2 linked regions of the Oryctolagus cuniculus genome follow. The protein of the gene in region 2 interacts with the protein of the main gene of each other region in a pairwise test. Links are inferred from orthologs where the notes say so. Each region holds a gene or a part of one and is shown on either strand. Other genes may lie near its edges. The genes, in order: NUP153 and TPR.

Region 1 (3,821 bases), on a different chromosome or scaffold from region 2:
TAAAAAATGCCTTTGTGCTCCCAAAACTGCTATTATTGAACTGATTAATCAACACTAGATTTTATTTGGGGGAATAACCCATTTAATTTTTTATTTAAGATCAATAAATTTTTTTAAAAAAATTTATTTGAAAGGCAGAGTGACAGAGAAGAAGAGACAGAAAAAGATCTTCCATCTGCTGATTCACTTTCCAAATGCCTGAACAACTGGGGCTGTGCCAAGCCAAAGCCAGGGACCCAAAAACTACATTAGGGTCTTCTATGTGGGTGGCAGGAGCCCAAGCACTTGGGCTATCCTCCTGCTGCTTTTCCAGGCATTTTATGCAGGAAGCTGAATCGGAAGCAGAGCAGCTGGGACTCGAACCACCACTCATATGAGATACTGGTGTCACACTCACTGTACCGTCACAACACCAGCCCTGAGACCAGTTAACTTTTAATTTTGCACACACCACCAGTGACCCATGTCTCTCACCTTAATAACCAAAAGAAAAGAAAAAGGGAAGATCACATTTCTTTTCCTCCCCACTTTTTCAGAATGTCTTGATTTCACTCAAATGAAGACTCTCCCAAATTTTTCAGACTTAAACAAGGGTTTGACATTATGAATACAAAGTGTAACCCTAGTATTTTTTTTTTTTTAAGAAAGATTGATTTATTTTATTTGAAAGAGTTACAGAGAGAGAGAGAGAGAGATATCTTTTCAATCAGGTACACTCCCCAGATGTCTACAACGGCCAGGAGCTTCATTTGGGTCTCCCATGTGGGTGGCACAGGCCTAAGTACTTGGGCCATCTTCCTATGCTTTTCTCAAGCCATTAGCTAGGAGCTAGATAGGAAGTGCAATGGCTGGGACTTGAACTGGCGCGCATATGGTATGCCAACATTGCAGGCAGAGGCTTTAATCATTATGCCACAACACCAGACGCAACACTAGATATACATGCTGCTCCACTCCCGATCCAGCTCTCTTCTGTGGCCTGGGAAAGCAGCAGAAGATGGCCCAAGTCCCTGGGCCCCTGCACTCACGTGGGAGACCTGGAAGAAGCTCCTGCCTCCCGGCTTCAGATCTGCGCAGCTCCTGCTGTTGCGGCCAATTGGGGAGTGAACCAGCGGATAGAAGACCTCTCACTCTCTCTGCTTCTCCTTCTCTCTCTGTGTGATTCTTTCAAATTAAAAATGACACCTGGAACAAAAACTTTATCCTTCTAAGTCATGCAAAAAAGCCAAATCTTATACTTAAATCATTTTACAACAAAGACATCTGCTGGGTAAATCTATAGTGTTCTTAAACTACTAGATTACCTATGAACATTTTGACATTTTTATGTTACACATCACAACTGAAACTGTGAACATATTTCATTTCTTCAAACTACTACCAACTAGCTTTCAAGCCTTGCTTCATTTCAGGTAAATACTTTCCTCTGGGCATATATGTTACAATTCATCAAACGTGGCCTTGTTTGGTATATACCAAACTGCAGAATAATTTGAGATGGCAGTTGAATGCTTTCATCAGAGGAACATGTGTGCAGGTACATCATTAAACTTATTTGCTTATTTCACATGGGCCTAGCTCTAATAACACATAATTCATTTTCTCCTGCCTTTGCCTCTTAGAGACCTCATGTTAGTGAAGTCCTTGAATAGCACACAAATTCCCACAAAAGAATTAATATCTACATAGCTACTTTGAAAAGTCCCCTCCTATCAGATTAGTCAGCATTTTTTTATAAAGTACAACACCAAGTGATATTAAAATGAAGTCCTGAGTTTGTATAATAAGATTTTTGATTATCACAAGAGCAGTCATTATCTTACCAGGGTTTTTCAGAAGATCTAGGACACTTCCCTCTTTCATAATTTTTGCAGGTCTAAAAGGACCCTCATAATCTTCACCTTGCCTCTTCATACAGATTGTACTGCTGGTCACTGCAGTGGTATCTTGAGCTGTAATTATTTTAATTATAAAAGCTATTATGCCAAGAAAAAGCATTGGACTCGAATTAATTTAGAAAAAACTTTCAAAGCGAACTCTTGGATCGATTTCTAAAACTTTAGTAAAAAAGCCACTTTACTGAACATACTGATAAAAAAAACCTGATAAGTAATTTCCAACTGAGCCAATTATTTCATTTCTAGAAATTTATACAATTTAAAATATCTTTCAATTATAATATTAAACACCTATGTGATAAAATGGTTAAAAATAAGGGCCTAGTAGTTACAAGAATCACAATAGTAACATAATGAAATGCTAGGTAGTCACAAAATAATCTTAAAAGCATAGTTTATGGGGGACAGCACAGTGGGATAGCAGGATAAGCTGCTGCCTTCAGTGCCAGCATCCCGTAAGGGTGCCCGGTTTGAGTCTTAGCTGCTCCACTTCCAATCCAGCTCTCTGTATGGCCTGGGAAAGCAGTAGAAGATGGCCCAAGCCTTTGGCCCTTGCACCCCCGTGGGAGACCTGGAACAAACTCCTGGCTCCCGGCTTCAGATCAACACAGCTCTGGCTGTTGAGGCCAACTGGGGAGTGAACCAGCTGATGGAAGACCCCTCTCTCTCTCTCTCTGCAACTCTTTCCAATAAATAAATATTAAAAAAAAAAAAGCATAGTTATGGGTAAAAGGAGGTTAGAATAAGTGCAGAGGATTAAGAATATTCGTATCTAAAGATTAATGGTGGCTACCAATGGTAAAATGAGTGCTCATTATAGCTTTTATTTTTCATACTTTCCAAAACAAGCGTATCTTTGTATGTAACGTAAGCGATCTGGGGTTTTGGGTTAAAATGCCCATATCTCACATTAGAGCACCTCGGTTTGATACTCAGTTCTGTCTGCTGGCTCCAGTTTCCTGCTAATTTGATCCTGAGAGACTGTAGTGACAGCTCAAGTAACTGGGTTCCTGAGACCCCATGGGAGATGTGGATTTAGTTCCAGTCTCCTGGCTCTGCCCACACCTACTCCCTGCTGTCCCATTTGGGGAGTGAATCAGCAGACAGGAGCACGCAATAAAAGGGGGTTGGCATCATGGCATAGAGGTAGCTGCCTGCGGTGCTGGCACCCCATACAGACACTGGTTCAAGTCCCGGCTGCACTGTTCCACTTCCAGTCCAGACATCCTGGCTGCTACACTTCTGATCCGGCTCCCTGATAATTCACTTGGGAAAGAAACCAAAGATTGGCAAAGTAACTGGGCCTCTGACACCCACGTGGGGCAATCCAGAGGAAGCTCCAAGCTCCTAGTTTTGGCCTGGCCCTGCAACAGCCATTGCAGCCATTTGGGGGATAAACCAGTAGATTAAAGATGTCTTATAAATAAATAAACAAATGTTAATAATAAAGTAAAATAGGGGCTAGTGCTGTGGCACAGAGGGTTTAGCTGCTGCCTGCCAAGGCTGGCATAACACACAGGCACTGGTATGTATCCCAGATACTATACTTCCAATCCAGCTCCCTGCTAATGGCCTGGGAAAAGGAATAGTAGATGGCCCCAGTGTCTGGGCCTCTACCACCCACTTGGAAGACCCAGATGAAGCTTTTGGCTTCTATCTGGCCCAGCTGTTTTGGCCATTTGGGAAGAGAACCAGCAGATGGAAGATCTAATTCTGATTTTCAAAATAAATAAAGCAATAAATATTTAAATAAATTAATAAACAAAAGTTATGTAATATATGTTTCATCAATACAACTATGCTCCCCAAAATAAAAACCACTGTTCCTACAATTGTGTCAATAAAGAAAACATGTTTAATCACTTTATAATAGTCTATCCTCTTTATTGCTAAAACTTACTTGCTTTTAGTAAATTTATAGTA
Region 2 (3,821 bases):
GTTTCAGTTTTCTTCATCAGTTCTTCATGCTGAGCCATCGTTTTTGCAGTCACCTGAAGGTTGTAAACACATACACATCTAATAGCTGAAAAAAAGCTGCTTTTTACTAGTTCTACCTCTCCTGACAGTATAAAGGGTTTCATTTTCAACTTTTAGTTAAGTCAACTTTCAAAATTAGCACTTTTAAAAATTTATAGTTTGTTTTTTCTGTGATGTTACTGAAAGTTTAAAAAAATACAAGAAATTACAAAGAAAGACACTACAAATCATCCCAAAAATAAGCAGTACTAACACTATATCAAAACACTGTTTATTTTTTATCTTGCTACGATGCTTTTATTAATGTTTCTAAAGTGATGCTACTTTAAAAAAACAAAAAACAAAAAAAAGCATTTGAAAGGTGGAGAGATGTTCCAGGCCAAAGCCAAGAGTCCAGAATTCCATGAGTCTCTCATGTGGGTAACAGGGACTCAGATATTTGAGATATCACCTGCCCCCTTCAAGGGTGCACATAAACAGAAAGCAGGACAGGAAGCAGAGGAGTTTGGACCTGAACCAGGCAATCTGATACGGGATGTAGGCATCTAAACCAGCAACTTAACCGCTGTGATAAACTGCTATCATCTTGATGCTCACTTTTTACCCTGTGGTTCAGATATCCCTCATTATTTGTTTCTGTTGTTTGATCAGTTGGTTTCAAGGAATTTTACTGAGTATCTATTGAACTCTGAACTCTTTTATTGTGGGTAAAATTATCCATCTTTTGCACGTGATGCCACTGTTCCCCACACCAGTTTTAAAAGTACAATAGTTTTCATGGTGCCATGCTACATAGTTCATTCTTGGTCAGATGTCATATTATTTCTGATGTGACATGGATTAGCTGACCTTCTTTCTCCTGTATCTAAAAGTTGGTTTTCTCCTCTGAACTTGCTTGTGGGCTGGACATTTTCTAGTACTTGCTTTTCCCAAAGGAACAGCAAAGGAAACAAGACAGACTCAGATAACATATAATCTTTCTCAGAAATTCTGATTCCACTCTTTTTGTTCCAAGTTAGTGCCATGAACTGGAGGCCCTATTTGGTTTCACCTTATAGTCCCACTGCAGTACCTTTTGTTTTCTGACAATATACTGTCCCTTTGTGTGAAATTCTGTAACCGTTGCAATACATCATTCCATTCTAGAATGACTTCCAGATGTGTCTGGCAACTATAAATAATTAAGATGGCTGGAATTTATTAAGCACATACTACCCATTAGCAATGGTTCCAAACGTTCCATGTGCACTAACTAAATCTTTACTACTATTATTCAAATTTTATAGATGAAACCAAGGGCAAGCAAGTTAAACAATATACCCAAGCGCATATAGGTAATGGTATGAAGCTAAATCTGAAACCAAGCATTTTGGTTCAGTAAGAATGTTGTACAAATTGGGCCGGCGCCACGGCTCACTAGGCTAATCCTCCACCTTGCGGCGCCGGCATACCGGGTTCTAGTCCCGGTCGGGGCGCCGGATTCTGTCCCGGTTGCCCCTCTTCCAGGCCAGCTCTCTGCTGTGGCCAGGGAGTGCAGTGGAGGATGGCCCAAGTGCTTGGGCCCTGCACCCCATGGGAGACCAGGAGAAGTACCTGGCTCCTGCCATCGGATCAGTGCAGTGCACCGGTCGCAGCGCGCCAGCCGTGGCGGCCATTGGAGGGTGAACCAACGGCAAAAGGAAGACCTTTCCCTCTGTCTCTCTCTCACTGTCCACTCTGCCTGTCAAAAAAAGAATGTTGTACAAATTAAATTTTATATAAATGAGCTCTTTTCTTTCAACAATCACATTCTGAAAGCTTAGTACACATACCTGGACTTTCTCCCTCTCAGCATTTAGACTGTCTTGCAGTTCCTGCAGCTCTCTTTCTAACAGTTCAACCCTTTGTCGATAACGTAGACTTTCCACCTGAGCCACTTCAAATCTAGTTTCAGCAATTTCTTTTTCTCTTCGTATAAATCTACAAGAATATGTTAAGATTTTATTTGAATTAAGAAATAAGGCCAACACAACACTTCAAAACATGGGTAATTTTTAAAATACAAAAATCAAATGAATGACTGTTTTGACTAATTATAAACAATGGGAGACAACATTTTTGTTTTTTATTAGACAGTATCTTTAGAAATTGATATACTTAAAGTGGCCTGGAGGCATTTAGTGCTTCAGGAAGAATTCACGTAAGTTCTTACTATCAGATTTGACTGTCAAGGCATTTAATATGCTAACAGTGACCACTAATTGGATAGTAGTGCATTTGTTGGTCACTAAGAGAGAAAACTGTAATATCCATATGTAACCTACAGATAAAATTCCCAATTTATACATTTATATTTTCATTTCATAACTGCACTAGAGACATTAGTATTGACACCTGACTTACCTGAGCATTTCTAGAATCTGCTCTTGTGATTTTCCTTCTTCACTGAGAGAGACATTCAATGGACCCTGTGCACCCTCCTTCATCGAGGCAACAACCTTGTCACTTAAATTTTCAATCTGATCATGAAGTAATCTATTTTGTTTCTCCAGATCCTCACAGCGAGACATGCACTTAGAAACTTCATCCTGTAATCCAGGAGGGTATCACAACAGCAGGTTTCCAATGCATGATAAAGACCCCAGCTCTCCCAATTCTCCACACCATTCTATTATGCTCCGTTAAAATACCTTTAACATTCTCTCTCTCTCCTCCCAAGATGCTTTACACTCCAGCAACTGTGATTCCGCTTTCTGGGTTGTTTCTTCCAGATGCTGACGGGCTGAGGCCATTTTTGAAACTTGCTCCTTGGCAGCCTGCAGAGCCTCCACATCCGCGGCATGCAGCATGAGCTCTCTCTCGTACTTGTTCTGGGCCTCCACAGCCATCTTGGCCTGCAAGACGTCATTGCCCAGGGACACACGAGACTGACAATCCTCAAAGCTGGGCAGTGCTTTCAGAAAATACACATACTGTGCTTTTTAAAACAAGTGAAGACTATCTAAATGCTATACTGTATCCACTTAAGAAAATATTTAAAAACTGTTAAAACAATACTATATAGCAATTTGGAATAAAAAACCAAATGTGACTCAGCTATGTAGAATATAGCCATATATACATACTTAAAGAGAACAAAGGAAACGAGACTTGATGGCGAATTAGATACAGATTGAACATCCCTTATCTGAAATGCCTGGGAAGTATTTCACAGTTCGGATTTCTTGGGTCTTGGACTATATGCACAGATTTTATGGGCTGACCATCTCTAAGCTGAAAATCCATAATGTCCCTTAATCTAAAACTGCACAAGAAACAACAGGGTGTAGCAGCATTCTGAAATTCAGATTAGATATATTTTATAAAGATTTTATTTATTTGAGAAGTAGAGTTACAGATATTGAGAGGGAGAGACAGAGAGAAAGGTCTTCCTTCTGTTGGTTTACTCCCCAGGTGGCTGCAACAGCTGAGGCTGCGCCCATCCAAAGCCTCCTGGAAGAAGGGCAGCTGGGAACAGCACCGGCGCACATATGGGATGCCGACACCATACGCGGAGAATTAACTTACTGTGCCATGGTGCTGGCCCCAGATAGATTTTTTTTTTTAAAGATTTATGTATTGGGGCTGGCACTGTGGCACAGTGGGTAAAGCCTCCACTTGCAGTGTTGGCATCCCATATGGGCACTGGTTCGAGTCTCAGCTGCTCCACTTTCGATTCAGCTCTCCGCTGTGGCCTGGGAAAGCAGTGGAAGATAGCCCAAGTCCTTGGGCCCTGTACCCGTGTGGGAGACCCAGAAGAAGCT

The links.
Region 1: the proteins of TPR (region 2) and NUP153 interact in a two-hybrid assay, tested with the Homo sapiens proteins (3 studies listed by BioGRID, with this or other methods). The link is inferred for Oryctolagus cuniculus from reciprocal best matches to the Homo sapiens genes TPR and NUP153.

Annotation. Positions count from the first base shown.
Region 1 is NC_091436.1:144,878,019-144,881,839, forward strand, and holds part of NUP153 (nuclear pore complex protein Nup153), read right to left. Parts: intron 1,953-3,821; coding exon 1,824-1,952; intron 1-1,823. UniProt on the Homo sapiens protein: Component of the nuclear pore complex (NPC), a complex required for the trafficking across the nuclear envelope. Functions as a scaffolding element in the nuclear phase of the NPC essential for normal nucleocytoplasmic transport of proteins and mRNAs.
Region 2 is NC_091444.1:3,523,949-3,527,769, forward strand, and holds part of TPR (nucleoprotein TPR), read right to left. Parts: intron 2,913-3,821; coding exon 2,709-2,912; intron 2,607-2,708; coding exon 2,422-2,606; intron 1,999-2,421; coding exon 1,851-1,998; intron 54-1,850; coding exon 1-53.